3 linked regions of the Astyanax mexicanus genome follow. Each later gene encodes a partner of the first gene's protein in a complex. Links are inferred from orthologs where the notes say so. Each region holds a gene or a part of one and is shown in the gene's direction. Other genes may lie near its edges. The genes, in order: snrpe, snip1 and rbm48.

Evidence for each region.
Region 2: snrpe (region 1) and snip1 share a complex: the UniProt entries of both Homo sapiens proteins name them as parts of the minor spliceosome. The link is inferred for Astyanax mexicanus from reciprocal best matches to the Homo sapiens genes SNRPE and SNIP1.
Region 3: snrpe (region 1) and rbm48 share a complex: the UniProt entries of both Homo sapiens proteins name them as parts of the minor spliceosome. The link is inferred for Astyanax mexicanus from reciprocal best matches to the Homo sapiens genes SNRPE and RBM48.

What each region holds. Positions count from the first base shown.
Region 1 is NC_064431.1:7,024,045-7,034,721, reverse strand, and holds snrpe (small nuclear ribonucleoprotein E), read left to right. Parts: upstream 1-4,423; 5' UTR 4,424-4,565; coding exon 4,566-4,619; intron 4,620-5,387; coding exon 5,388-5,414; intron 5,415-5,616; coding exon 5,617-5,679; intron 5,680-6,878; coding exon 6,879-6,957; intron 6,958-8,057; coding exon 8,058-8,113; 3' UTR 8,114-8,312; downstream 8,313-10,677. Other genes in the region: yod1 (ubiquitin thioesterase OTU1), read right to left, coding at 350-1,047, 1,708-1,935, 3,265-3,370. UniProt on the Homo sapiens protein: Plays a role in pre-mRNA splicing as a core component of the spliceosomal U1, U2, U4 and U5 small nuclear ribonucleoproteins (snRNPs), the building blocks of the spliceosome.
Region 2 is NC_064413.1:32,222,510-32,233,186, forward strand, and holds snip1 (smad nuclear-interacting protein 1), read left to right. Parts: upstream 1-5,203; 5' UTR 5,204-5,349; coding exon 5,350-5,510; intron 5,511-6,246; coding exon 6,247-6,376; intron 6,377-6,745; coding exon 6,746-7,269; intron 7,270-7,798; coding exon 7,799-8,057; 3' UTR 8,058-8,703; downstream 8,704-10,677. Other genes in the region: gnl2 (nucleolar GTP-binding protein 2), read left to right, coding at 290-369, 562-696; dnali1 (axonemal dynein light intermediate polypeptide 1), read right to left, coding at 1,068-1,127, 1,837-2,001, 2,123-2,298, 3,084-3,253, 3,344-3,465, 4,283-4,363; gpn2 (GPN-loop GTPase 2), read left to right, coding at 10,592-10,677. UniProt on the Homo sapiens protein: Required for pre-mRNA splicing as component of the spliceosome. As a component of the minor spliceosome, involved in the splicing of U12-type introns in pre-mRNAs. Down-regulates NF-kappa-B signaling by competing with RELA for CREBBP/EP300 binding.
Region 3 is NC_064410.1:48,090,261-48,100,937, forward strand, and holds rbm48 (RNA-binding protein 48), read left to right. Parts: upstream 1-4,561; 5' UTR 4,562-4,595; coding exon 4,596-4,718; intron 4,719-5,501; coding exon 5,502-5,692; intron 5,693-6,138; coding exon 6,139-6,284; intron 6,285-6,374; coding exon 6,375-6,976; intron 6,977-7,066; coding exon 7,067-7,126; 3' UTR 7,127-7,227; coding exon of another isoform or gene 7,228-7,263; 3' UTR 7,264-7,299; downstream 7,300-10,677. Other genes in the region: pex1 (peroxisome biogenesis factor 1), read right to left, coding at 217-336, 948-1,648, 1,732-1,846, 2,668-2,751, 2,860-3,000, 3,110-3,217; efcab1 (calaxin), read right to left, coding at 7,228-7,263, 7,465-7,569, 7,658-7,809, 7,896-8,000, 8,089-8,244, 9,967-10,042. UniProt on the Homo sapiens protein: As a component of the minor spliceosome, involved in the splicing of U12-type introns in pre-mRNAs.

The sequences.
Region 1 (10,677 bases):
ACACTGATAACGAAGGCAATGTTTGACATTTTGGTTTGAATAAAAGGCTCACTCCTCATTAGGCAATAAACTCAATTGCTACATATCAAAAATAAAAAGGTGTTGTTGCAATACTGTGCTGATAATACACACCAAAACGTAATGCTCAAGAATGTCAAAAACCCAGTGTTGACCAAGAGTTGTAATTAATACTGAAAAGTTGGGGGTTTTGGGTTAAAACACATTGTGAGGTAGAAAACGGCACCAAGCTGAGACACACAACTGTGAATTAGTTTGGGTTTGGGTTCAGGTGAGAACATATACCGAGTGGCAGTGGGAGGGCACAGTAAAGGTGATCCAAAGCGAACTGTTACACTTCGCCGAAGTTGGTGTGACCCGTCTCCTTGGCATGCTCTCTCGCCTCCTTTTGTCCCACCAGGCCGGTCTGGCACACCATGCAGCGCAGCGCGAAGCGGTTGACGTCCGTGTACTGCCGCTTGCTCCTTGCCTCGTCAGCCAGCTCCAGGGCCTGCGCGAGGATGATGTCGTCGGTAGTGGAGAAGACAGTCTGCGGTGGGATGTCCGAGCCAGGCGTTGCCCTCTGCAGCGGGTCGTAGTGGATTCCGTCGTAAATAAGCAAGACACGTTTCTGGTAGCCAGCATCCTCGCCAAATCGGTCCACACGAACAGTTTGCGTGTCCACGACACAGATTTCGCACTGGTAAAACTTGGACAGGATGGAGACCTCAATAGCACCCCCCCACGTGTCATCACGCCGGATCCAGGTGCAGTATTCGTCGTTGCTTTTGCCCAGTACTGCCTCTGAATAGGCAGCTGCGTCACTGGCCACGATCTGGGCGATAAGGCCGCGCATCTCGGGTGCGCAGGCTGGATCATACACACCCCCCTCCACCACGTAGTTCACACTCGTAAAGAGGCAGGAGTTGTCAGCAGGAACCACTCGGCGCTCCAGAACAGGAGAAGAATTTAGGCATGGGACTTTTGTTAGAGCAGCATTAGTCTGGACTTTTGGTTTGTTCTTTTCTTCTTCTACAATCAGAGTGTCTCCTGTAAGAGAGGTTATGAAGGGAAAGCGGGGAGACAAAAAAAACATTTTTGTAAATGTTCTTTCCAATAACCAAAGATATAGGTAGCAATGTGAACAAATACCAAAAACTATGCAATTCGGTGTGAAATGGACTTGAAACGTGACGACCAGCATTGCAAAATACAGCGTTTTTAGCCAATGCTCCCCAAACAGGCTTATGCATGTTAATGCACGTTAGAAGCTTTGATGAGTGCTCATGCAAATATCGTTTTAAGTTTTCCTAAACTCCTAACGAGCCACAACAGAGCTCCATACAGTTTAACCCCAAATTAGTGTGCTTTTTTTGTTGTGTCTGTCCCAATTTTTCAAAGTGTATACTTTACTAACATTGCCAAATAGTAAGTGAAAAACATCCTGCAACCTTCCCGCTTCTTCCTGCTTGTTAAAGAAAAAATATAAATACATAGTTATATGTTATTTTATGAAATAAATATTTATAGAAAATTCACTGAATTAACAAAAATTGTGCTACATCATAATATAAATTATCAGAATATCAGAATATCCAAATATATATGATATTTAGATATGAATATGGATTTTTTTTTTCTGGTTATATTGCACAGCCCTACTGGGTAAAGTCAATTCATGTTTAAAAATCAACAAAATAAAAACCTCACCTGATTTTATAGGGTAGTCTTTTAGGTGAGCATCTCCATTGCGAAGATCCAAGCTGGATGGTGGGTAGCCCACCATGATCTTCTGAACGTCGCATGGAATTCCAGTTAGCTCCTCTACCTTGGTTTTCAGCTCTTGGACACAGGACTGGTGCGTGAGGCCTTGCATCAGATGGGTTCCATTCTTGGCCTTGCACCTCAGTCGCAGCATCCTGAGTCCCTTCAGTTCTGCTTCGGAACAAACAAACTCAAAGATGTAGTATTACTTTTACTTGCTTTGGCTTCTTGGACATCTTTGTTGTCGTGTTCACAACTGGTTAAACTGTCAGTTCACAAATAAAGAAAACGTGATCCTTCTTTAAAATATTACGAAAAATTTATAAAAGACGAATCACAATGTCAGATATCGTTATTTACAGGAGATCCTAGACCTTGCCTCCTTTCAGACGTAAATATGAACAAAATTGAAATATATGCGTAAATTTGACCATGTTTTAATAACAATTTTACCTTTTAAGGAGCACCTATTTTTGTGGGTGTTTTCGCAATGGATTTCTCACACATGCTTCATCAGATCACAATAAAGCTGCTATTTGAATAGGTAGTGCACTATATGATCCTTTGAAACAAGTACTTTTACACTTTTCCTTGAGTAAAAAACTTGAGTTGTTACTTTAACTTCTACAAAAGTATTTTTAAACCACTATATCTATACCTCAACCTGAATAATGAATGTGAATACTTTTGACACCTTTGGTTAAGGCATTCCTGAGTAAATAATTTAATTCCTGAAAGGATATAGTGTGATTTTGGGGACCTAAATAAACCAAGCTGCTGACCACTGCCTCAGAACCAAACAAAAGGGAAATAAACAAAAGACACCTGGTTGTAATTGTCCACAAACAGTCGGTGAGGTAGCTGCCTGCCTAAAACAGACAGTCAGGTAGGTAAGTAGCTGACTGTGCTAAAACTGATGCAACAGCTTGGCAAACCCCTAAAAGTGTATCCAAATTTTGCTACATACTGTTAACCTGCTTGTAATGCTTTAGCTTCATTTATAATAATGTTGCACTGGGTATTGTAAGCTAATAATAGTTAGTAGCTTAGCTAACGTTAGCTAGCTAGGAAAGCTGCGTTAAACCACATAACCCAACCCAGCATATAGCTATCTTACAATAACCTAGAATATTTGCTAGTTAACTAGATTTAAACTCTAATAAAGCAGCCTTGTAACTCCCTTTACCCAAATTAATAAGAACTGTATTTTAGCTCAGCAATGTAACGTTGCATTAACGTTAGCCAGTCAGCTAATCTACCAAACCTAGCTTAGCTATGCTGGTCTTAATTCAGCATAATAGACAACTAGCTTATCTTAGTTTAGCAAGCTAACAGTTATCTTAGCAGCATCTCAGCGTCAATATTAAATGAACTTTTGCATTATTTAATCAAATACCGCCCTAGTTAACATCGCAAATCTGTCCCCAACAGAACCGTGCTCATATACGGTGGCTTTTAACCGTTAATTCGCTTAAATTGTCTGTATATCGTAGCGTTTCTCACCTCGGAGCGCCTTCCAAATAACAACACACTGGCCAACAACTGACATGCGCACTGCGTCACACCGCGTGCACAAAACAGTGCAGACGCAAGCAGTTGTTGAGCTCATGTCATCTTTCCACGTATGTCTGTGTTTATTTTTATGTATCAAGTTTTATTACATTAACTAAGTTACACGTTTTATGTATTTACATAAAAAACATAGCTTGTTATTTTAAATATAAAATAACTGCAATATTTAGAATAAGAAAATATCTTTTAACATTTTCACATTTTGCCACCTTACAACACAAAATTGTATTTGTAATGTAGTTGTATTTTATTGCGATTTTAAGTGATAGAGCAACATATAGTCTATAATATATATATATATATATATATATATATATATATATATATATATATATATATATATACACACACACACAAAAAAAAAACTATTAATTGGATTTCTGCATAAATTGGACAATAAATGTGTACTGATTTTCAAGTCACAACAATAAGCAAACACAGTCTGCTAACACTAGTGATGGGTCTGACGACCCTGAAACCTCGACACATGCGCCGAGCTGTCAAGGCGAAACCCCGTGTCGGTGCGCGTATCAAGTTAAGGAAAACCACGTGACCGATACACTTACTGTATCGTTTGGTAGCGATGGGTCTGACGACACTGAAACTTCAGCGCATGCACCGAGCAAACAAGGCGAACCCCTGTGTCAGACCGCGTATCATTTTAAGGAAAACCATGTGACCGATGCATTTCTTCGCGCAGTTGCTTGCAATGACTTTCTTAGTCCAGCAGATGTCGCCATTAAGTGATACAGCAACACAGTTTCAACACAGTGTCGATACAGTTTGGGAAATGTGCCATACACCCAATGAGGCTTCATCTGCCCATCACTATTGGTGAATATAAATCACGCGTCGCACAACAGAGCTCTCAGAAAAAAAAAATGTCATAAATCCATAGATAATTTTAAGTTCAATTTTATATGAATCCCTCTTCTTTTCTTAGTTTGAACTGTGTTTGTAAAATCAAAAAGAACAAAGAGAGAAGCGGTAGTAAAGGTAGTAGTTTCTGAGCGCAGGCAGCGTCTCAGGGCCGGTCTCTGTGTGGTTAGTCCTCCTGGTCGCTGCGCGGCGCTGTAGTAAAAATCAGCCCCAGGCAGCTCTCTCCGCGCTTCCCCCCGCCATCGCTGCTACACCAACGTGAGGAGATCGTTCCCCGGCGAGTTGTATTCTCCAGTTATTACAGTTATAATATTTATATTACAGCAGCAGCTCCAGCCCCGCGGATCAGCAGCATGGCGTACAGAGGACAGGGCCAGAAGGTGCAGAAGGTGATGGTGCAGCCCATCGTATCCTTTACTACTGAAACTGATTCACTGCTGGAGCTCCACTCCATTCATTTAGCTTTAGCTTTAGCGCTAGCTCTAGCTTAGCCTCTACTCACTTCTGTAATGTTACCTGCGTTAGATAACCTATCTAGCTTATCTTATTATATCGGACTACTCTAACTGCTATATTACTCGCGGTGGGTTAAATTACTGCAGATAGAATGTGTTTGGGGGAGTTTATAAAGAGTGCACTGATTCAATAACTCTGCTAACATTAGTTACATATAAGTTACGGGGTTAGTGTTGGGGCTGTACTCATATATATATGTATTTCTATCTGTATATCTGCATATCTGTATATCTATTTATGTGTATATCTGTCTATTTATCTGTATATTTATCTATCTGTATATCCATCCATCTATCCGTAATTTTGAGCATAGGGCAGGTTCTTGTTTGAGTTTGATAGTTTAGCTAGTTGGACTACAAGCAAGATAAAACTTACCAAGCTAATCTAGGCAATGGGGCTGAGCAATACGGATCAATTGTTAAATGGCGATATAATATACATATGTAAATTCCAAAAGGTAATTTGCATAGGTCATGCAGTAAAATGCATATAAATAGTATAGCATATAATAAATTAGAATATGTTGTGGTATTAAATGTTGTAGAGCAGTGTGTGTGTGGAAATAATCAGGTGGACTAGTTCGATATTTAATGAGAATGGCTTTGCTAAATTGTGATTTTTGCCTGTGCTAGTTGTTTGTCCTTGACTTCTGTCTACAGAATCTGATTTTCAGGTATCTACAGAATGTAAGTGCAGCTTTTTTATGGTTATTATTAATGGTCTTGTATGTGGGTACACAATAAGATAACAATGTGAATAATAAAATAAAGTGCAGACAATTTATTCTCATTTTATGACTGCACCGTATTTAATGGTTATATTGTGTATCACAATTGTGGTTCTAAGTTTGTGCTGTTGTTAATAATCTTTTTGTCCTCTTTTCTGCAGCGATCTCGTATCTCGGTTTGGCTCTATGAGCAGGTCAACATGCGGATAGAAGGCTGCATTATTGTAAGTAATTATTTACTGACCTAACTAATCAGAGAACACTATATTTGTACTTTGCAATAACATGCTTTCGCATTGCAAGCAGTAGCCACACCGCTATAGGCTGACCCTCATGGGTTAGTTGTTTCCCCAGCACCAGGACAGTTTGGCGCTGATGAAGACCACTGTGGAATGCGTTGCGTTTTCACACCCATAACCATACCTTTGCCATGCTACTGCTTACCACAGCAGAAAATGCATTGTAGTCCAAACATGGGCAAGTGAGTAATATTGACGATTAATACAGTTAGTTACACTCATATAAAAATATCAGGAAAAAGATAAGAATCAATGCTTTTTTTCTGACGTTAAGACAGATGTGTGTCTACAGATGCTGTAGCTACACCACACATCAAAACACTTGTAGATGTGACTCATTTTTAAAAACACTGGCCTGTTATCATCAGGCAACCCTTGGCATCAGCAGTAGCACAACACAACCACAATTGGCTAGCTTCCAGCAAAGCAGAAAGCAATGTGGCATACCGATGGCGATGTGAAAGCTCCTTAAGCCCACCTGACCAAATAGACTATGTAATGTTTTCTCCTTGTTTGCTTTGTGTATCTTATCAGTTCCACCCAGCAAGTAAGAGCAATTTGTAGTTCTATAAGTACAGACTGTAGTTCTGCATCTGTTTCTGCATACTTTATTATTATCCTTATTTTACCCTGTTCTTCAAAACTCAGGACCCCTCAAGGCCACCACATTTCAGTGGTGGGTCATTTATTTTCAGCACTGCAGTGACTGTGGTTTAGCATAACAAATGTGTTTGGGATGTTGGTATGTGTTCTGCTGGTGTTGGTACAAGTAGATCCGACACAGCAGTGCTGCTGGAGTTTTTAAACACCTCTGTGTCATTGCTGGCGTTAGAGTATTCCACCAACTAGAAATATATCCAGTCAAGTGTCTTGCTCTAAGGTGGTCCTGTTGGCTTCTGACTATTGAAGAACAGGATGAATGGATGCTAATAATGTATGCAGAGGAACAGATGTGACTAGAGTGTGTATGTATAGCTTTCAGTACAGACTAATGTCTGTTTGTATTTAACCTGTGAAATGTATTTTTTGGGGGGTGTATTGGATTCGTTAATGGCCTCTGTTGTATGTTTGTTTTAATGATGTTATTTTATCAGTGCTATTTCTGTTTTTATCTTCTGCTGTAGGGGTTTGATGAGTACATGAACTTGGTTCTGGATGATGCAGAAGAAGTCCACATGAAGACCAAGAACAGAAAGACTCTGGGTAAGGAGTAGGGATAGGACTATGTCAATGTATTTGGCACTATTTATGAAGCTAACAATGTCTAACTTTGTTTAAGATGGACAGTTATTTTAAAATAGTGCAGTTGTGGGGTCCAGTTTTTTTTTCTTTCTTTAATTTGAAGCAGCTGGCAGAGGTGAAGTCAGTTCTTACACAGGAGCATTTTCATACAATAACTAATGCCTTCATTACATCGCAGCTGGATTACTGTAATGTACTTTATTTTGGGGTCAGTCAGTCCTCCCTCAAACGCCTCCAGTTAGTGCAACATGCTGCTGCCCTAATTTTAACAGGATCATGGAAGGGAGAGTGAATAACTCCCATTCTGCCCTCCCTCCACTAGCTGCCTGTAATTCAAACTGATTCTTTTATTATTATTTTTTTTTAATCTTTAAATGGATTCACCCCACCTTACTTTGTTGAGTTACTCCATCCTCACGTTCCTGCATGATGCCTCAGGTCAGCTGATCAGCTGCTCTTAGAGGTGCCATGGTCAATATCTTAAAGGGGACAGAGACTTTTAGATTGCTGCTTCCAAGTTATGGAACAACATACTTTTACACATTAGGCAGGCCTCTTCACAGTCCGTTTTAAAACTAGTCTAAAAGCTCATTTTAATTCTTTGGCTTTTAACCTAAAGTAAGATTTTGCTTCCGTTTGGTTAGGATTTTTTCTGTCTTAATTGTTTTTTATGTTTACTTTTATTTTTTTTGTCTTATTGTTTTAGTGTTTGTTTTTGTTATATAATTATCTATGTACAGCACTGTGTTTGAAACAACCAAAAAGTGCCCCCCAATTTCACTTACTAAAGTTACTCCATGTGGCACTAATCAAATGAATAGGGTGAACCTGCAGTAAAGAATATTGGTTGTGAAATTCTGTGAAACTGACACCAATAATTCTGTAATTTTTTGTGATTTGCTTATTTAGGGGTATTTTATTATATCATGATAATATTGTGTTGATATTCTCTGTGATTTCTACCCCCAGTGAAGTGTTGGACATCTTTCAATTTTTCCCATGGTTTGAATCATGTCTGGCAGGTGTACTGAAACGTTTTTTTTTTTTTTTTTCTCCAACAGGGAGGATCATGTTGAAAGGAGACAACATCACGCTTCTGCAGAGTGTGTCAAATTAGCCGTTCAGGTTCATCAGGATGATGGAATTTTATTTGGAATATTTTTGTTTTCATGTATGTGATTTTTCCTTTTGGGGGGGGATAGGGATGATTTTTTTTGTGAGCATGTTGACTCCTTGTACCTTAGCAGTGCTCGTGATGAGTGATGTTTTTTCTATAAAAACAAATTAAAGACTTTTTTTTGTTTCTTTGTACATAAGGATTTTTATTTAAAATTCAAATATGTTTGTAGGAAAACTTTTAAAACCTTCATGTGGTATTGAGCACCAATCAAAAGTTTGGACACTTTCTCATTTTATGTTTTTTTTTTTATTGAATTTGTTTTCTACATTGTAGATTAATATTAAAGACACAAAAAAAGTAAAGGATACATGTGGAATTATGTAGTAAAAAAAAAAAAGTGTACGTCCTCCACATTAATCCCCTGATCTAAATCTGATGAACTGAGATGGTGATTTGAGGTGATTTAATTGGGAGGAGCTGGAGCTTCACAGTGTGAAGAAAAAGCCGCAACTACTGTTCAGCACCTCCAGGAACTCCTGCAAGGTCCCGAAGAGAAAACTATTCCAAGTCACTTTACCTTATGAGATAAAATACCAAGAGTGTGCAGATCTGTCCTCAAAGATAAATGTGGTATTTAAAATAATCTAAAGTATAAAACATATTATGGTTTAACACTTTGTTTACGAAAAGCTTCAATAATGCTGCATGTGATCCTGTATAGCTTTAATATAGTCTTCAATTCTAAATTTACAATTAAACATTAAAGAAAAGAAAACACACAGTATGAGTAGAGGTGGGTCCAAACATTTAAAAGTTATGAATTAGGAATTGTCTAATTGCTAGTTTTTCAGGATGGGAACCTTTGCTTACACATCCATACAGTGATCAGTGATAAGTCTTACAGTGCACAGTATTTGTTTGCTGGACAAACGGGGGTTGGACAATGAAACTGAAACACCTCTCATTTTAGTGTGGGAGGTTTCGTGGCTAAATTGGAGCAGCCTGGTGGCCAATCTTCATTAATTGCACATTGCACCAGTAAGAGCAGAGTGTGAAGGTTCAATTAGCAGGGTAAGAGCACAGTTCTGCTCAAAATATTGCAATGCACACAACATTGTGGGAGACATACGAAGTTCAAAAGAGGACAAATTGTTGGTGCACGTCTTGCTGGAGCATCTGTGACTAAGACAGCAAGTCTTTGTGATGCATGAAGAGCCACGGTATCCAGGGTAATGTCAGCGTACCATCAAGAAGGACCAACCACATCCAACAGGATTAACTGTGGACGCTGTTAGAGGAAGCTGTCTGAAAGGGATGTTCAGGTGCAAACCGGATTGTATCCAAAAAACATAAAATCACGGCAGAATTCAATGTGCACCTTAACTCTCTTGTTAGCACCAGAACTGTCCGTCACCACAATAAATTATTGTGCTCTAAAACCAGTTTTGTTGTTCAACCCCTGCAAAGGACACAAAGTAATACACTGTTATAAATGTTTCCTCTTTTGATGCCTAATCCAGTTCACCAAATGATTATCAAAACCTTTATGAACTGTGTGTAGAGGAGTGCGTCTATTGAAAAGGGTTCATAAACTTTCAAGAACCACTGTAATACAGAGGCTCAACACCAGCAGATGACATGTCTCTCCAAACCATCACTGATGGTAGAAACTTCACACTAGACCTCAAGCAGCTTGGACTGTGTGTCTTTGCACTCTTCCTCCCTTGTCCTACCTCTTCACAACTCAACTGATGCTCTCACACACATTAGGAGGCAAGAAATGTAAGTTATTAACTTAAAGATTAAGTAATTAAAACAAATATTTTTAAAGCAGTCACTCAGGTGCTTTGAATCTAAAATATATTCTGGTTTGTTTAACACAATTTTCTTTACTAAATAATATGTTTTTCAGTTTGGATGACGTTTATAATCTACAATGCATTTTAAAATAATGTAAAAACATTACATTTAAGTTGTGTTCAACCTTATGACTGGTACTTTAATAGTTTTCAGATTGTTTTTTATTAATAGGCTCGAATCCAAGCCACATTTAAAGGTGGTTAGCAATGTGCCTACAATCTGATCTGCGGCAGTCTGGATGCTCTGGTCATTGTATATTTTTACTAGGCAAAAAACACAAACCTCAACAAATCCAGAGTGGCTGAAAGTGTGGGGGTCCAAAAAGTGTGCCACACCGCAAAAAATTAAATCTAGTTTCAAAAAATCTGTATTAGATGTATTTGATTATTTTGCTTATTTAAGGATTAATGAGCCATTTGAATCACTCTTACTTAGAATTTTCATATTGTTTAAATTAACTTGAATCAAATTCAGCACAAAAAGTTACCTGTCTAGTTTTATTTTTGCGTCTAAATTTAAGCAAAAAAAAAAACTGATTTTTTTTCTTTATTTGGATCTTACTTTATTCATAATGAGATTGCTTATTTTAAGAAAACATACAGAACAATGTGTTTACCCCGCTGACAGATTGTTTTGCTTTTTATAAACATATAACATACATCTCAATTTACATATATTTGTCTAGTTTTTGCCAACTGTTT
Region 2 (10,677 bases), on another chromosome or scaffold:
AGAATATAGAGAATATTTTATAACACATAAAAATAGTCTTATCAAGTACACTGTAGGTTTACATACTATACATATGGTTCTGCTAGATTCTTGCTGTTCTTTAAAGACTTGACTAAATCAGATTTGCTAGCTTGCATGTGGCCACCTCTGACTGATAAACACATCAGGGGAAGGGACCACACATCTACACACGTTTTCTGGAGCAGTGCAGATTCAGCTTGATCAGAGATTGGTTTGGTGTTTCTAAAGAGCAAACAGTCGCACTCATCAGCTTCTCTTTGTTCTTCAGCTGTGACGCATATCGGCAGAAAGAGGAAAGCTCTGGAAGACGAGGAGACGGCGCGGCCGACCAAACTCACATCTAAAGAGGTACGTGCTGTTCTCCTAGATCCCCTACTGATGTCAGACATCTCATCCATCTATCCAGACACTTCAGATGGATGTGTGCTCTTTATAGTGTTCTAAGGGTAGAGAGAATGCTTCTGGTCTTCCTCAGCCCACATCACTCACATTAATCTTCTCTTTCTTCATTTTGTACTTACTTTTTTTCTCCTCCAACAGAAAAGAAGAATGGAGCGTGCCCAAAAAGTGAAGAAGATCGGGAATCGCTATTATGACACACACAACGTCAAGAACAAAAACAAGAACCGGAAAATGCCCACGGAAGGCAGTAAAGGCAAAAGAGCGAAGCGATAGGGCCGTCTGCTCTAACGCATGTCTTAGTTATGGACTTGGTTATGTTCTCGGACATTGGGTTGGGATGTTGAAAGATGTGTATGAAGAGCATTTACTGTGAGGGTTTGATTAATCTGTGATTAAATTGCCACTTACAGATGCACTTTATTCAAAACATCATCCTTCCACCCACATATAAATGATGGTTCTGAGTCACTACACCTACAATTTTGATCTGTGGTCACTGATTACCTGAGTATTTGTGCCTTAAGAAAATGTTGTTGTTCAACAATATTCAAACTCTGGGTGTTCTTAAGGATGAGTGAAATCATTAATAAACTATACAGATGTGTACATGTCAAACTTTATTAATATGCTGGGATCAAATATGATTATTCGCTGATTGCTGATGATTTTCCTTTTTGGGGGGTGATGATTTCTTCCAGATGGGCCTAAAAAAATAAAAAATAAAAAAAAATTAGTGCTTATACAAAGTATTCACCTCCATGTTTTTCCCCTCTTTTGCTAGTATACACAAGTATAATGTATATATTGTCAATATAAATGTTAGTTTATACAATACAAGATAGTCGGTTAAATAAAACCATATACTGTAAAATAAGTGACTGTATAAATACTGACCCCTTTAAAACTACTGTACCTAATTTAACAGAGGTGCAATCAGTAGATGTTATTAATTTTAGAATTGGTGGAATGGAGATGACTTGAATGCAGTGAACGTTTAAACTAATATATATATACCTGTTTGTAAAGTCCAGTCACTTATAAATTAGTATTCCTGGCTACAAATATAACATCAAGACAAAATAACATTTCGTAGAAAAAAGGTTAACAAGTGAGGACTCGGGAGATGGATACAAATTACATCATTAAACAACCCTTAAACTTCGGTTAAATTTGTCATCATAAAACGTAACGAGTATGGCAAGTAAGAGACTACTTTTACATTCTATTCACATTGCTTTTTCATTTAATTTACATCACTGTGTGGAAATTACTTTTCCCTTTGACTATGTGTTTTCCTCATTTAAGTAAGAATAAAAATGAAAACCATCCAAAGGAGTGAATACTTTTAGGAACTGTACATTTCAGTGTCATACTAAGACAGCATAAGAAGCTGACTGATTGTCATGGATGTACCTTTAGTTGCTGGTTGGTGCGCTTGAGAAGCTGGACCTGTGCCGTGTGCTGTTTCTCTTCAACCTGTCGCCGCTCAGCTTCTTGCCTCTCGATTTCTTCACATTTAGCCTTCTGCTCATTTACCTGCCTTTCCAGATCCTTATTCTTGTTCTCTAAGTCTGCAATCTTAAAGTACAGCTCAGTTACGATTTTGTTTACAGATAAGATATACATAGTACATAGTCTCAGACTAAGGCATTTCAAATAAAATAAAAAATATATGAGAAAGGCAGACTGATGTACTTACTCTCTGCTTGCCTGAAGGCTCTTGCTCAGCCTGTAGGGCCTTCTTTATGCCAAAGGTCATACCGCTAGCATGCAGGGTCTGATAGACTGTGTTGGTCATACGTATCTCATCTCGCACTCGTAGAAGTAGCAACCCCCTCTCAGGACAGTTGATGCTAATCTGCCTGATTAACTCATCTAAAGGACAAATAATATGTTTTTAAATGAGCTGTGTGTTTACATGTCTTGCTATTGTGTATTTCACAAGATTGTGAACCTATGGCCCTAAAGTGATTAAAGAAAAACATTGAATAATATAGATCATAAATCATTCCTCACTTTCTGCTAGTAAAGTACAATGCCACAAGCAAAGCAATGCTTTCAAAAAAGTGGCCAATTGTAGGGTAAATGAAATTGTCTACATTTCATTCATTAAGATACAGTAAGTTATGATTGGAAGCAGATGTCTTAAGTGTTTAAAGCTTCTAAAAATTCACCACAAAAACTACATAAGATGGTTGTGAATAAGTTGTCTGAGCGAGGCCTGATAGTTGGTGCCAAATGGATGGGAAACTCCATTTTTAAAGTTATGCGCCCATATAGCATTCATTTGATCCAAAGTATCACTAGTGAAGAAATATCAGACAGAATTACTAGCCAATTCTAGCCAGATGCCTCCAGTCACTATCATTACCACCTTCAATGAACAGCGCAGTGCTTGGTAATGATTGTGATTGGCAGCATCTGGCTAGAATTGCCTTAATGAACAGATAAGCATCCATATCCATATTAAATGCATTAGACCCCATATGTATATACTGCACCTCAGAGCAGCGTTCTTTAGTATCCATGGGGCATGGAAAAAGACACAATACAAACCCTATGTCCCATGACATCTGGCATGCCAGTATACAGTGCTATCAGTGTCTAGTAACACGTGTACTGTATTAAAAATTCCTCTGGCTGCTGTTTTGTAAACTCACCAAAGCACTGTGAGTAGAGCTCACTGCGCACTGGGCAGATGCCTTTTTCTCTGGCCTGTCTCTGCTGCAGTTTCAGCTCCAGCTGCTCCTGCAGGTGAACCACATCCATCCGTGTGGCAGGAGTGCTGGACACCTGCTGAATCCAGCGCGTGTTGTTCTCTTTCCATTCCCTGCAATATCGGTGCTTATAACCGTTAAACATGAACACATTATGAAGAGCTGTTTTAGAAATAGAGCAGAAGAGGAAAGACATATCTTACCTTGGTGGCAGAATTGCATTGAGTATCTCTTCAGTTTCTGCAGGGGGAGACTTGGGTTTAGGTGGAGGCGGGACGGGCCCAGATAAAACCAGCTGCTGTGGACTCACTTTCAAAGGTCTAGCCTAGATTCGTTGTTTGTTTGATAGAAAAAAATATATAAATGGGATAGTTTATGTACTTACAGGCTCAAGCATGGGTTCAGTAAATATTTATATATTTTTAAATTGTCTTTTCCCACTTCCATTGAATGTTACTGTCATTCTATTAGATCACCACTTAAATAGCTACAACAGTGACAAATTATGTTTATCCATACAATTACATTAACCATCACAGAAATATTAGAAGAAATATTAATAACGTACATGAACATACTGGATCTAACATTATTTAAACCCTTCCAACAAAATCTAAATATTAGCTACTAAGTTAAGAATCAGTTAAAGTTATATTCTTTGCTATTGTTATTGTGAGCTGCCTCATAAAAAAAATGTAACTTTTAAGTCTATATATACACATATTTCAGTTTGTAGCATAAAAAAAGAAAATATAACTTCATAACCTAAATCATTATCATGAACATCATTCCATTTTTTTTACCGAATCACAAAAATATTAAATGCTCTAGAAATTATTTTACTACAGAACAGAATGAGCTCATCGACTCAAACGTAAAATTCAATGAATGAGTATAACTTTAACTAAATTATATAACAAAAAAATAAATTCATATATAAGTATTTGTTAATGTGTTAATATATATGTAGAAGTTAGTATTAGTAAAAGAATACCATTCTGCTGTAAATAAAAATCAGCAAAATGGGGTGTAAGTTACAGTTTTAGATAAAATGTATAGGTTATATAAGTCGTTTTTCAACAAAAGTCAAGACCTCCAATTTGTTACTTCGTTACTTAACTCAAAGGTTTCTTACAGCTTACCCTAGGTGATTTGTTGTCTGTGGTCGGTGTGATCAGCGCCGGAGTATCATACTTCAGCAGAGAGTCGGGGGGAGGTTCCATTTTTACAAAGTGAATTTTAAGTAAAAAAAAAAAGTTTCAGTAACGTTTCAGCTCAGAGGAAATTGAGTATGAGAACTGTTTACATTTACTATGGCAACCCTGGAGACCGTGTGAGAAAAAAAACAACAACCGGTGTTACAGCAAAATCCGGTACCTAGAGGGAGCTGTTTCCTGATATGTTTTTCAAATGAGAGTGCCTCACTCAGCTGTTAGTAAAAACTGTCCCAACATCAAATTCTTCGTTCATTTACAGCTTATGTTAAAACTAACACATGAATGGCTGGAGTGCACATAAGGGTTCGCTCTGACAACGCAGTTTAGACACTTTTGACAGATTTTACTAAAAATCCTTACAACATTTCATAGGCCTTGAATGGTTAGGGTTCTAAATCTACACTCACACCGATAATAAGTGAAAGGTGTACTTTTCTACACTGCAACAGCACAGTACAGGCTATACGAATATATTACAAACAAAGAAATACGTATTTAATGTAAGTAAAGTTGAATACAAACCATACGTATAAAACCATAACGCTGAATCAATTATGATTCAATGGAAAATCGATGTGCACAAATAATTGCATATTTTTGAGGAGATTATTTATGATTATTAAATTTGGCCAAAATTATTATTTATTAAAAAGAAGATTTACACATGTGGGTGGAAATGTATTATTATTTATATGTATTATTTTAATATCTGCCTTAAATCTACAGATACTGCGCAGATTTGAAACAACTGTAGCGGCAGGAGGGTGGTGTTTTGTTTGTGAACTGGATCAGCGTCTCCACCAGGTGGCGATGAAAGTTTCCACAGGGCGGAACTGAATTTCGGTTCCCGCAGGCAGGCCGGGCTGGTTTGTTGAGCGGACAGGGAGCAGATCTGGCAGCAGTGGAAGTTTGTGGTGAGGCATGTAGCTTTAATAAGCGCGGATTCTCAGTTTTAGCTCTATAAAGAGAACAGAGAACAGTCTGTGTTCGGGATGGACTCCAGGAAAAGAGACCGGCACTCCCCTGCGCGCGACGGGAAGATCAGAATTAAAGAGGAGAAAGTTAGTCCCGCTAGGCCGCGGATCGCGCGCCGCTCCAGCTCACAGTCCAGCGGCGCGAGCAGCAGCAGCCCCCCGAGGAGACACGACCACCGGTCAGCCACACTCTATTCTACTATACTCGCTTTCTGCTTAACACACACTGTCTGCCTCTCTCTCTCTGTTAATCTATCTGGTAGTAGTAATTACTAGAAGCAGCAGTAGTAGTAGAAGTAATAGCAATAGTGGTAGAAGCTGTAGTTGTAGAAGTAGCAGTAGTAGCTGAAGCTAATGATAGTAGCTTGTAGTAATAATACTAATTAAACTAGTAATAATAATAGCAATATTTTAGTGTCACTAGAAGGAGTGTTGGAAATTCGGTTAACGTAGTAGTGATAAACACAATAGTCTAATGAGAAAAAGAAAAAGAAGCAGGTTATGTGGACAGAATAAACAAACCTGTGTAACTTATAGCATGGTTTGGTAATATGGCCGTAAAATAATATCATGATATTTCGGGGTATTTTTGTGATAATTATATTGGTGGTTTGACAAGATATGTAATTTAAAAACATTTCAAGTATAAACTACTGCAATAAATGAATATTACAGTTTATATGGGGATACTTTTGTATACAATATGATATGTAGCACCTGTAACTTCAGATTGTAACAGATGTCAATGATCCAACATATCATGCTACTAATAATGCACTCCTTATATCTAGGATTGTCCAGAAGTAAAATAAATTATGATGGACAGATATAATCTCCTGGTCTCTTCTTGCTAAGTATGTTGTTCAATATCTCAACAATCTAATTATTGCCACACATTTTGTTTTCTTTAAACAGAGGAAAAGACAGATCTCCGGGAAGAAAGGACAGATCATCAGGACAGCAGCGGGACAGGGAAAGGGACAGGTCCCCCCGAGGCCAGCGAAGTCGCAGTCCATACCGCAGTTCTGATGTTCGGATAAAGCGGGTGATTCAAACTGCAAGATAGAATGATCATAATTCATTTGGTATTGGACTGGGTGGTATGACCTCACAGTATAGATCATGAGTTTTGTTTGTATATATATAGCATTTAATGGTCCCACCACACAAAGCAGCCCTAAAACATGCAACCAAATCTGTATCAAAACAATGTACTATTTGCAACTTGTTTTCCAGGTTTATTTCCAGCCTTTCATGCAAATAATAATAATATTTATTTAGATCATGGGTTTGCTAATTGCAGAAACACAATTTAACCCATTTTTTTTTGTTTTTCTAATTATGCTTTAGGGAGTAGATAAGTGATGCTGATTTTTTTATACATACTAAGCATAATCTGTGTTTTCTCCTTCAGGAAAAAGATGATCATCGTGAAAGAGGAAATAGGCCTGATGAACGTCGGGGTAGGAGGGAGGAAGAGCGTCAAAGAGGGCCGGAGCGACGGAGAGAGAGGTCTCGTGAACGGGAAGCACGTCTGCAACAGCAAGCAGAAAGGGAACAAAACAATGAGCGTCGCAGAGAAAACCGTCTCCGGCAGGAGGCAGAGGGCGGAAATGAGATGCATGAGTTTGATGGCACAGAGGGAGATGATGTGTCTGGACCTGCTGTTGAGAAAGAGAAGCCCAACTTTGAACTCTCAGGTGCTTTGGTGGAAGACACCAACACATTTCGAGGAGTTGTTATTAAGTACAACGAGCCACCGGAGGCCCGAATCCCAAAGAGGAGATGGCGACTGTACCCTTTTAAGAATGATGAGCCACTTCCAGTCATGTACATCCACAGACAGAGTGCATATCTCCTTGGAAGACAAAGAAAGATTGCCGACATACCTATTGATCACCCCTCCTGTTCAAAACAGCATGCTGTGTTTCAGTACAGGTAAGGATGCTTTAAAGAAATAGGTGTATGTGCCTGTTCATTTTACTGTACTGGCATTGGCAGCCTTTTTTCTTTCTTTCTACCTTTTTGAGAAATTGGAGGCACCGCATTGACTAAAACACACGTCAATATTTAAAAAATCCGGTTAAGTCACCCCATTTGTCCAAACTTTTCTTTTTAACTGACCAATAAACTGAAAAAAAAAACATTACTTAAATTGGATTGTGATTTTTATTTTTTAAGACAATGTAAATAAAACACTTTTATGGCAGATTCGTTAATTATTTTTTTTTTAACTAATGTCTCACCTGCATCCCCCCTGCAATTCCATGTGATAAGAAAAGGCTATTTGAAAAGACAAAAACTTTGAGAAATAATGAAAAAAAAAAATTGATAAGCTCAACTTGTTTTGTTATGGCTTTTGTAGCCTGGAGTCCCATACAGTATAATTTTTCAAAAGTAGCGTGTAAATCCTCATGAATTTGTGATATGATTTATTAATGTAATACCTGTTGTTTGTTATCTCCAGGTTGGTGGAGCACAAACGAGCTGATGGTACCACAGGCAGGAGAGTAAAGCCGTACATTATTGACCTTGGTTCAGGCAATGGAACATACCTGAACAACCAGCGTATTGAATCACAGCGGTACTACGAGCTCAAGGAGAAAGATGTGCTGAAATTTGGATTCAGCAGCCGCGAGTATGTGCTCCTGCATGAATTCTCAGACACCGCTGAAGTTGATTCCAAACAGGAGCTTGATGAGGAGGATGAAGGGCTTGATGAGTAGTCACCACTCAAAGTTCACCAAAGTACTTTTGTTGTGTGGGACTCTTTAAAGGAGCCCTGAATCAATGATCAAGATCGCTGTGATTGACCCAGAATTTAATGGGTTGTTCTTTTATTAATGATTTTGACATTACTATTATGTTGTGGACAAGGTCTGTAAAAACTTGACTGGTGTCAGTCTGACAACTTTCTGTGTTTAACTCTTATTCTCAGGTGAACAGCATCAGCTTCGGATTGTCTAGCACTGCCCATTGTAGTAATTTCAGATCAAGTGTTCAGTGCCAGAGCAAATGACTTAAAAATATATATTTTGGATAATTATAATTTGTCAATAAAAGGTTTCCATCCAGACTTTTTCATTGTAAATACACTGGATGTAGGCAACGTGAGCATTGTTTCACTTGTTTTAGTTTCTATGATTTATTTGATATCAAAAGCTGTTTGTAGTTTGTAGACATTCTTATTTTAAAGTCTCATAGCAGTAAAATGTCTTTATTGTTGCTTTGTAAAACTAAGACAGCTTAAGACTGTATTCTGGTTCATATGTGATGACATTGCTTGAACGTTTTGGGTTGCAGATCTGTATGCATTTTTAGATGTTTTGTATGGTAAAATAAAATAAAAAACAAGCAATAATGATTTTTTTCTGATTCATTTGAATAGTAAAATAACAATGTTTATATACATTATGTATACAAAAAGTTTATATGTGATGTAAAGTTCAAAGCCTGTGAGAAGGGCCATGTACTGTGGTAAGAGTGTGAGTTCCTCAGGTTTTTATTTACAAAAAAAGAAAAACTACAGAAAGCAGATGGAAATGTGATTGCTGGTTGCTAAAATTTAATACCCTCTGTAAAGCAGTTGAATACTCTTGCTGCTCAGTAATGTAATTAACATGATCATAATGCAAATGAATGGATGTATTTACAGTAAGATTGCCTTGGGTAAAATGCATTTTATAAATAAACTGAAAATAAAAATTCCAGTTAAGGCCAAGTCCTAGCAAGTTCAAAATAAATGTTATTGGACACTTGTCGGCTTGGGTAAGTTGTCCATGTTTTAACAAAGTATTTTGGTTTCCAACAATCACATAATACAGCTACAAGTTACTGGTGAAACTGTGAAAGTTCATATTTTACAGAATTTGGCCAGCTTGTTATATTGAACTGGTATTAACTGCCTTGATTCCAAGTATAATTAAAACAGTTGCCTTCGAGAAAAGCTTTTTGAAACATTATAGACATGATTTACACATATGTTGAAATGCCAGCAGGATAATTATGCGAGAATTTGTACTGTAGCTGTTCAGGTTGCCATATTATGGAAAACAGGTTTCCCCACATTTCCAAAAATACATGTTGAACATATAACACATTTTTAAAACATACCACTAACTCAGGTTCATACTGTCTGTATGTCACTTTTAATTTTATTTTATATTTCATTCATTTAATTGCAGCAGTTGTTCTTGGAATTGAGTAAAATAATTACCCCCTAAATTGCTTTAAAAATATATATTTAAAAAATCTTTTCATTAACTTACATATTGGATATTAGCCATTTTACTGTACACTCATTGCTCAGAACAATATATTTCCCAAAAATGTATAAAAATACATGTTTAAAAAAATAAGTTGATTGTATATTTATATTAAATTTCACAGAGTAACTTTTTTTTTTTTTTACCCCGTTTTACTTAAATAGCAAGTTCTATATGTTTGGAGATAAGAACAATGTATACTGCTAAATGGAATTCATGCTTTTCCGAGTCGTTTTTTCCCCCACCAGGGTTTATATAAAACAGCCCGTTTAAATAGTACGTTTACTTTACCGTTGTTAGAATAAAATAACAGATTAGAAAAGTACATGCATTTTCTGCTTTACGGGACTTTTGTTTTGAAGTGGAGCAGGACGGTGACCCGGCTGTTGTGTCGGCGGCGTTTACTCACGTTGGGGATGTATCGTTATTTCGTGCTTTTTTGCTGTTCAGTGCAACTCATATTTGTGTAATTTAAAACATTTTTAATTAAAATGTTTAGTTTGTATTTTGGTAGGATCGAGTTGCCTTTTAAGCTTTAGCTTAGGAGGTATAAAGTAACTCTTTATTATGTAAGTTAAGTTAACCAAGTGCTACCTAAGGCTAGCTAGTTGGTTTGCTATTCGAATTGATTATTTTAAAATTATTAAGTATTAAATAATTATTTGTTATAATAAATAAAAGTCTGCATTTCTGGGTTCAAACTCTAAACGCCTGTAATTGTTATTTGGAAGCAGGCTGGTTGTTATATGGGTGTAGGTTGTAATGTAGTTAGCTAGGTTAGTTAGTTTAGCTAGTTTAAAAAGCCCAGCTCATTAATATAACGACACAAATCGCATCTAGCTCTCTACTAACTGTAGCTATAATGTCTCACGCTTTAAACCAGACGGCGTGTAGAATCAGCTGTGAGTGAATTGCAGTGCACACTTTCTGTGGAGTCTCTTATATTTGTATAGACAGTTGGTTAATGTTTTCTTGTGTAGTGGAGAACTTGGATCATGTCTTCTCAACCCAAGCAGCCCTCCCTGCGATTCGGTCAGGTGGTTATTGGGCCTCCTGGCTCAGGTAAAACAACCTACTGCCG
Region 3 (10,677 bases), on another chromosome or scaffold:
ATGTGTTTACAAGGCTATTTTTTGTTCTATTTAATGGATTATTTAAAGGATTATCCACCTCGTTCAATCAAATAGAAATTGCATTCAGAATGACCTTTACACGTTTACACGCACGTGTTCTACTCTGATTCAGCTATTAGTCCGACTATTAACAGTTTATTATAAATGAACTGCGTTTGTCTGATATTTCAAGTTAAGAGAGAAAGATACACTTACTAGTGTTCGTAGTGGCTGAAGTAAGACAGCCTGTGCAACTGCAGGGGTGCACGTTAGAGGACGAACTCTCACGGCAGAATGCAGGCCTATGCTCAGCCTTGATCGTAAAATGTTTGGGATCTGTGAAGAGAATAGAATAAAAAAATAAATGTATTATTTTTTACATTTTTATTTATTCATCATTGCACTGATTTGTGGTCAAATAAAGTTGTTATGCTGCTTCTTTAATTGCAATGTATCTACAGAGTACCAAATGATTTCCACACAAAGGATCCCACAATCTTTTTTGAAATTTAACAAAAAAGGTAACTTATGTAGCAGTTGTGATATTATAAAGATTATGATTATGTATAATTTCCAAAAATAATTTAGAATAAATAAAATCACAACATATTGCCCAGCCCTATGTCATATGAAATCTAAAAACATGTGCACTGTTACTTTCCTAGTACACAAGTCCAATTGCTGTCCAATAAAAAAACATATATCATAAAAACAACAACTTAAATGGGAAAAATAAAAAATTTCTTTCAATGGACGTAAATGTAAAAACAAAAAAAAAAGTTTATTTCAGCTAATTTTGGGAAATTTCTATTGGCCCATTCATCCAGAATTTTTGACAAGGCACACGGGGATAAATGTTTTTCATTAGATACTTAAGATTAGGTTTTTATAACAAATGTTTTAGACTAATTCTAGAAAAGTAAAGTGTATCAGTGTATAACACTTACCCACACCTTCCCACAGTAAATCTCTCTCATTCCTGAGGATCTTTGGTCTGCTTCCAGCTTTTCTGTGTTATGGCAAAGGATCTTGACCACCACAGACTCCTCCACTGGTTCCTGTGCTTCCTTTTTAGGTTGAGAGCTATTTCCACTCTTTTTCTTCTCCATCGCTTGCTTGGCTTGCTCTCTCACTTCTTTGGGAGAATGAATTTTAGAAACTCTACCATACGTTAACACTGGCTGTTGTGTACTCCAATAGTCATACTGTATTTGGTCCCATGGCAGCATGTGAACATCTCCATGATTTGGGTCAAGATGTCTGATTGCTCCGGGTGGGGTTCCACACACTCTCAGGACACAATCTGGGAAGACTGCGGGGACAGTGGGCACTTCTGGAATCTCCTTGGCGGGCTCATATTTCCCTGTGAACACATATCTCACCAGGCTCTGCAGGTCAGGTACTCCAGCCCAGTGTCTCTGACTGGGCTCCGGCTGATTGTGAATGGACTCAGAGAAAGAATCAGTTCCTGTGGAGGAAGGTGTGGAGGAGGATCCACGGTCTATGTTCTGCTGCCTCTGCAAGACCGGGTTCTTTGTATCTGGAGAAACTGGGGCAAGCTGCCTGCCTCCATGCCGGAGTTTGGGGGAAACAACCAGCTCAGTGAACTGCTCTAATCGACCATACGGAACAGATGGAGACAGGGAGACTACAAGAACAAGAGGTACAGCAATTTACAGACAGAACTGAGGATTTTAAAGAAGTATTTAATAAAAAGTGTTTGAAACAGACCTATCCTGATGTAGATGACAGTGTGTTGGTCAACCCACACAGGAAACACCCCAGAACAGAAAACGACTCGAATCTGGTCTAAAAGGTGCTGTTCCAGAGCTGTGCTGTGAAGCTCCTGGAAAACAAAGGCATTAGGTGTCATCAGTAAAGGGCAGTAATGAAGTAAATGTAATTAGTTGCTGTATATAAGTATTTTTTTGTTATGTGTGTATATAAACATGGCTGAATAATTTTAATTTTAACTCCACTAAAAGTAAACTTTAATATCTAACTTTTTTACTTTATAACATTATCCAAAACGTGTTGTTCCTTTTGGTTTAGGTGTGTAAGAAAAAGGGAACATGTCAAAACAAAAAAACATGAAGTGAGCAAACCAATATGGTTACAGCAGTGACTTATTTTTAAATATGTTCTGACCTGTTGTACTGTATGCTACCCTGTGCAAGCATAGTGCATCAGTGCAACAGTGGAATTTATAGAATATACAGATACATAACAGCAAAGAAAAAACAGTCTAAAAAGTTGTATTCAACTTAAACATGTAACTAAGTTGTAATTAAATCTTGGGGTGTTTTCACACCTAAAAGTTTGGACCAGAGTCTGCACTGAGGTTTGTGCCTTTGTTACATTTTGTACATTGGGTCCGGTTAGTTTTGGTTTCACACAGCAGTTTAGTAAGCAATAAAAGCACCCTTAAACTAAAACTTGGTCCCAACCTGGGAAGTTAATCCAATTAATTTGATTAACTGAATCTTACTGTTTAATTAAATTTTCAAAATGGGACAATGAAGATCGTACACCTTTACATATAGAAGCTGCCAGAGTGAATACAAAACAGAGATGGTTCTGATTAACCTACTCTCCTATTCTAAGAGTCAGCCTATCAGTTTTTAGTGTGGGTGGGCAGTGTTTTTTTATTTGGTGAATGAGACTCACCAGGATCTCCCAGTCATCTGAGGACAGAGGCTCTACAAACACCTGCTGCACAGACTGTACCTGACTACATGGACGCAGGAAGCCCTGAAAAACATCAAAAACAAAAATAAAAAAACAAAATAAAAAGCAAATCACATCAACTTAAATTACAGTTAACTGTAATACAGACATTTATCCAACTCCAGAGTTTACCTGTTCTCCTTCCTGAACTCCCAGTTTCTCCCCTAACTGTCTGTTCAGCTCAACCCTGTCCTCCTGACCTGCTGCGTGGCTTCTTATCCAGCTGAGGAACACTGGAGCAGATGATCCCCAGGACAGCTCCAGGGCCTGTGACTGCATATGACAATAAAAACAGGACAGTTAGACTAGACTAGACTGCACCCCAAGTTAATAAAGCAGGAGCAGCGTAGCCATACTATCACACACCCACTCTCACACACACCTCTCTGAGGGAGAGCTGAGACACTAAGTTGGATGGCAGGTGGAGAAAGCAGTTTTTGGAGTTGTTGAAGGCCAGAGTTACTGGCTGGATTCCGCAGTTCCCCAACATTGCATAAAGAGGAGCTTTAAAGCCTCTTTTAGCGCTGAAAGACTGTATAAATCAGCACTAGTGTTCAGGACCTGCTGCACTACAGAGGATCAGGCGCCATGCTGAACATGTCAATACTGTCAGACAGACCTGACCAATCCATCCACCAGCGTGCGATCATCACTACAATGTATATGAAGCTCAGTATGCCCTAACAAATAATAAACATTTAAACATATTTTCACATTTTAATATTTATTTATATTTGAAATATTGTTTTTAAATGGTCACAAATAATCAAAATAAATTAGGGAAGGTATATGTATATTTAAATGAACTAAAAATGTTACATTTAAAGATTTTTAAATTAAATATCATTTTTAAAAATGTGTTAGCATGTATCTTACAGAATTTAACAGGTCCTGTCATTAGAAAATGAATGTGACATGAAGGTGATATAGTTTAAAAGATCAATCTGCCCACACAAATAATAAATATTAAAAATATATGTTTACATTTTTATATTTTTTTATACATTAAATATTTTTTATTTATACATTTATATTTTTATCATAAAAATAATACAAATAAAATTGAAAGGGTATATGTTTATATTGTTAATAAAATATTCATACATGTAGGACATTTAAATTATTAAAAATATTAAAGGTTAAAATAGATTTTTTTTCTTACCATTTCACAAATGCATTAGCATGTATATTACATGATTTAATAGGTTTTTGTCATTAAAACAATGATTATCTAGGTAATGATAGTTTTAAATGTCTCTCTGCACATTCAGAATACAGAAACATTCAGAATATATTTAAGGCAAAAGTGTGGGAAACATACATCACAAAATATATTTCTTAATTTTGGTTGACACGCTACAATTCTGATATCAATATGAAAAGTATAAATTTGGGTTTCCACCCATGCTGTACATATTCACACACTGATAAATATTTTACACAATATTTAAAGACATTTTCACAATGCACAGTATTCAGACAGTATTTAGTATTTATTTAAATGTATCAGCAGTAGCATATTCTGCTATTAAATGCTCTTTCACAATGTTTTGTACAGTGATTATTAATTAAATCACTCTCTGTAATAAAATGTATGATTGGGTCAGTGTTCTTTAAGTAATGATGATACATCCTCGATTTCTCATGATACGATATTATATATATTGTACTATATTTTAGTACAAAAATATATACTATTGTCTATTTTTGTATTTATTAAAATTTTTATTTAACATTTTTTATTACATGATTACAGTTTATTTCAGTATGTGTTTCTCGCTGAACGTGGATCACTATCTGTGATTGATTATTCGGGTCTGGGTCTGTGTTTAGTTCTGCGCTGTTGTCGGGGACGCTGGGTAATCATCATGGCGGCTCTGAAGCCGGGCTCTGTGTGGGACACACCGCAGGTCTACAAACACCACGAGCAGCAGAGCGCCTGTCTCACCCGCCCGAAGTACAGAGAAGGGAGGAGACTGAAGGCTGTGAAGGTCAGTGAGCTGTTTTTACTGAAACTCCGTACTGAGAGGAGAATAACGGGCCTACAGCCCCAGTGTTTAGACTGCTAGCCTAGCTTAAGTTAGCTGTTTGGCTACACGAGCCTCCCTGTCATCACTGAATCTCCCCAAATCTATAGTTAGTTAACAGAAAGATAGACAATACATAATATATAATGAAGTATATATTATCTGTATACTGAATTATATAGCTACAGTACCAGTAAAACGTTTAAACAAACCTTCTCATTCAATGTTTTTTCTTTATTCGTTTATTTATTTGTCTTTTCTACATTCTAAATTAATATAGATCAAAACAATTAAGGGACACGTAGAATTAATCAGAAGTAATCAGAGAAACAAATATTGATTTCTGAACTCTTAAAACTTTATGAATATGAACTTGTTTTCTTTGCATTATTTGAGGTCTGAAAGCTCTGCTTCTTTTTTGTTATTTCAGCCATTTCTCATTTTCTGCAAATAAATGCTTTACATGACAGTATTATTTGGAATTATAGTTTATAGAATAAAACACTAATGTTCATTTTACTCAAACATATAACTATAAATAGCAAAATCGGAGAAACTGATTCAGAAACTGAAGTGGTCTCAATTTTTTTCCAGAGGTGTATATATAGGGACAGTTTCCCAGACAAAGAAGTCTAATCTTGGGCCGCATATATTTGTGAATGGAAATGTTCCACAATAAAGCAAAACAGTCTACGGCTCGGCTTAATCCTGACTGTATCCTGTATCTTCTGCTTTGTCAATCTGTAGGTTTATACGATTAACCTAGAGTCTCGGTTTCTGCTGGTGCAAGGAGTGCCTGCTGTTGGGGTAATGACTGAGCTGGTGCAGCTCTTTGCTCTCTATGGAGTGGTGGAAGAATACAGAGTACTGGATGAGTATCCTGCAGAACAGTTCACTGAAGTTTATCTTATCAAGTTCCAAAAGCTTACAAGTGCAAGGTGAGAATAAAACCTCAAACATGGAAAGATGTAAATCATACAGTAGATAGCATGGTTAGATTAAAATTGTCACTTGTGTTTTATTTAAAATAAGAATAATTTAGCATTTTTCTTAAACCCTGTAATGTGCATGTATTTTACTTAGGCTAAATAGTTTCATTGAATGTTGCCATTAAACCATATGCCAAACCATATTAAAATAAAATTTAAAAAACACATCCCCATTATACATCATAGATAGGATAGTATTTCGAAGTAGTATGACCGTTCTATTGACACACTCTCCTTGGTTTAGACATGCCTCTTAAGATGTTATCAAATGGACATTGTATACACATGTCCTCCTTGGTTAAGACATGCCTCTTAAGATGTATCATGCATGTTTTCAAGCACATTTTAAGATATCCCAAGATCTGTTGATAGCTGAGTAATTTTGTCTGTTTCAGGGCTGCCAAAAGAAAAACAGATGAAAGAAGCTTCTATGGGGGTCTGCTTCATGTTTGCTATGCCCCTGAACATGAGACTGTGGAAGACACAAGAAGGAAGTTACAGGACAGGAGAAGATATGTTTACAGAACAACCCAAAGATTAGGTATTTTGTACGCTTGCATCACACACATTTTTGTTTCTGCAATCCATGTAATTAACCAGTTTGTCTGGTTGTACTGCACCTTTATTACAGAAAGGGAATGTGAGCAAGAACAGGCTACAGAGAAAACAACTCCTGCCAGTTCAGAGACACCAGCTCCATCATCAGTGTATGAAGATAGGACATGTCCTCGAAGTTCCCAAGAGGACAATTGTAGTTCCAGCACATCTTCTAGCTTTCCATTATTGCCGCTACCACCTCATGAAAGAGTTCATCAGCACTATTTTTCATCTAAGGACTCATTTAAGTCTGTGAAGACTGTACATGAAGGCAGTGTACCTACAGAAGATAGAATGGGATCTTTACACAACTTCATCCCTAGTAACCGTGCCCCAGATGATTGCAAGCAGACCACACAGTGGTCAGACCTGCCTTCTGGTTCTACCTTTGGCAACGAAGAGAGAAGTATTATCAAAAAACCCAAACATCCGCCAAGCACTGCACCAAGGTTTATACCAAGGACTGCACAATTAGAAAACAGGAAAAGGAAAATGGAGGACAGTACAGACTTGTTAGGTGTGGCAGACAGAAATGCCCCCTTGTATGGACCCAAACTACCAGAACTACCAAAGATGGACATGGAAGATGCATCATTAAACAAAACGGCAAACATCATCAGGCAAACAATGTCAAAGGTCAGCATTATAAGTATTTTTTTTTACTGTTATGAATGTTATAGAATAGTTAAAACGTATGTCTGAAATTGTCTCTCTTTTTCTTTTTAGGTTGCATCAGTTCCATCTGAAAAGAAGACAACAGCTGTAAAAGCACGGCGAAGAATATAATTTTCTCTTGTCTTCAGTGTGCATTTTTTATTGATGTACTGTAATAGTGGTTTATTGTAAAATAGCACTGTTCATTTTTCTTTATATGAGTGATTCACTTGTTACTGGAAAGCATGTTGCTCAAATTCCAGGGTCCTCTGAAAACAAACAAAAATACACATTTATTTATTAAATTGTATTTTTCTATAAATGTCAAAATAAAAAAAATCTGAAGACAGACAACTGTCATTTTAAGTATTATTACAGTAAGATGGATGGTATAGTAAGAATATTAAATTATTAAAACAATAATGACACTCATGCAGAACATTGCAAAACGTAAAATTTAACAATTTTACCTTTGCATCAGGAAGACAAGTTCCGAAAGCTTCTAATAGCAGATTTTCCTCTCTTACAGACTTCTCAAAATCACTATATGAAAGTCTGCTGTCATGGTCATAATCCTGAATGCCGAAAACAGAAATCATTTTTAGTGTATCTGTTATATTTTTGACTGACTGTGCTCAACTATCTCCCCAGCTGTGGTCTCACCATTTTCTTTAGTATTATTTCCACAAGGTCCTTAATCCCTTCATCAGGTTCTTCTTCAGTCGGCTGTCTGATCAGACTGTTCTTCAACATGTGGAACATTTCCTCCCTCGATATGTAGCCATCTCCATTAAGGTCGTACACCTCAAAACAGTCTGATCGTTTTAGAGAAATGAGCATGGATTAAGAACAGTGATCTGAGAATTATCTTCATCACACAATCTGTTCAGCTCAGTCTTACATTTGATCTTTTCATCCAAGGTGCCTCGAAGGAAGACTGACAGTCCTTCCACCCACTCCTTTACACTGATATAGCTGTCATTGTCGCTGTCGAAGGACCGGAAGACTGTGTGGGTTGGAGAAATGTTGGCTTTAGAGATGTGATATTGACTTCTACAAGTTCTAGCCTTTACATATAGAAATAGTTCCCTTACCTCTGTCCATAATCATGTCGTCTGTCAGTCCAAACGTGTTGTGTAGGATGTTTCTGAATTTTCCCCGGTCCAGACCAAGCCCTGCTCTCTTCTCTGTCTGCCCTTCCAGCAACTCATTAAAGAGTCGAATGAGGCACTCTGCCTCTGTTTTATTAACTAGAGTAAGAGGATTGTTCTGGTTATACTTATTGACTTTCAGATAATGGCAGAGTTGGACAAACCATGAGCAGTATTAAAAAAAGATTTAAGTAGAGAATAATGTACAGAACTGCAATCAGAACATCTTACAGGTCATATTAAAATAATCAGCATGAATTGGTACACAGATAAGAGGTCATTGAAATAGTACATATCTCTTTTTGGGCTCATTGTTGTTTAAATTGTTAATTAGAGACCTTAGGATTGTATGGGTATAGGCTGTATATACACTGACATGTCAAAAGTCATGAGGTAGCAGAATGTAAATTGTTGATAAAGTGTTACATTATTACATTAATGTAATAATGATCGTGACCTGCAGTATCTGGCTAGAAAAGGAATGTATTATACGTTTATGTTGTCATTAAAACTGCTGGGTAAGAAGGCTTGGTTCTGTTTTATGGAAGAATTAGAGCTGCTACAGGTGTAGGCTTTTATATACTAATAGACAAAATAGGACATTTTTCTCTGACTGAAATGCAAAGAAGAGTTTACAGGGTTCTCACTCTTCAGAAAATGAATAATGTCCATTCCTGAAGTAAACACATACAATTTTACCTAATTCAAATGTGCGACTCCTTGGTTTTAGAGCTGTACTTGGACATGAAGAAAATTGGTGAAGTGGGTGGATGCCACTGTTTTTTGGGTGCCTCCGTGTCTGTTACCTTCTGGCTCTCTCCCTTTAGTTAGGCTGTTATATTCAGATTGGCCGGAACCACACTATGAAAATGTTGCATGTTGCTTGTTCTTCATGAATCCAGTCACCCACCACAGATCAGCTGCCCATGGCCCAGTTTATGCCAACGATCTTGGACTAGTTGCTCACTTTTTTCACTACTGATTACATCAAAATTTATATGAACTTTAACTAAGAATTGTTGTAACCACTTCTGCTGGTGCGGCTATTCACCTGAATACATTAGGTATTATTTATTACATTGTTATTATGTAAATGTTTAAAGACTGAAACTTTGAAACTGTGTGCAGTTTTAATTTCTCCTAGCTATTTGGGATTAGTAGGACCTAACCAGTAGAAAAACTTTGTCTTTGTAAGGGAAGTAATTTACTATTTTATTTTACAATTAAAAATGATCCATTGCCAGTTGGGATTAGAAGGAAGCATAGGCTAAAAACATTTTTTTGCTTTCAACATTAAGTAAATAAACTAGTTTTAAAAGTAAAATTGCAAAAAAAAAAAAAAAAAAATGCAATTTCTGTCTGGACTGGCTGTAAAAATATTTAACTGACACTGGGTTTCAAGAGGTTAAAGGTTGTCTGACCAAAGGAGGATGGATCCCCCTTATATATTAGCCTTGATGTTCTCAATATATGATGTCTCCACTGTCTCCAAACTGGAAATAAATAACATTCAGCTAGACTCATGAACCTACAGCTAGCTGACTTGCTTTATGTAGTTATGTAGTTTATGTAGCTTTTCCACACAACAGTGCAGCTTCACAAACCTCAGTAAATCAGGAATTAGTAGCATAGTAGAGTTATTGTGACTAGAAAAAAGGTTTCACGCCAAATATCTAGTCTGTTAGATATTCCAGGGACTGAGCTAAACAAGTTTACCTAAATTAGCTAGTTAATGTAGCTAGCCGATCGGCTAACCCATCAGATTTCTGTGGTTAACAAGTAAACAGTAGCTCAGAGGCAGTGGTGAATCTAAATACTCACAGTGTTTGGCTTGTTTACACAGCTTTTCCGCCAGGTTTTGGATCATTTTCTTAGTCATCGCCGACATCTCAGACATTTTAAACACAGAAACAACACACACATATATATATATATAAAAACACTGCCGCTGCCGGGATGTGTACACCGCGTTGCTATTAGCAACCCCAATCCGCGAGAAGGGGGAGGAGCAACAGCTGACCTTACCTTTTTTGGTAATACATTTATTTGAATATTATTTGTCCACAAAGTAATCACACACACACAATAAGGTAGAAATAATAATAAAAAAATCAAGCTATAGAAATGTATAAATTAAATCCAAATGCTATATGAGAATAAAACAAGCTATAAGTTATACAGTTACTTTACATTACATTACATTACATTTGGCAGACGCTTTTGTCCAAAGCGACTTACAATATTGAAGTGCAAATAATAGAAGAGGTTAAGTACAAAAATAATAGAAGTTAAAAATAAAGCATCTATAGATAGGGCCTTAAGGAGGTCAGAGGGAAATAATGGAATAGAGGAGTAGAGAAGAGGAAGAAGGAGATGAGGTTAGAATTAGTTAGTTTGTTAGAGGTGTTAGGAGAGTAAGTGCTCTTTGAAGAGCTCTGTCTTCAGGAGTTTCTTAAAGATAGCGAGAGATTCTCCTGATCTGGTAGTGGAAGGTAGTTTGTTCCACCATTGGGGAACTCTGTATGAGAACAG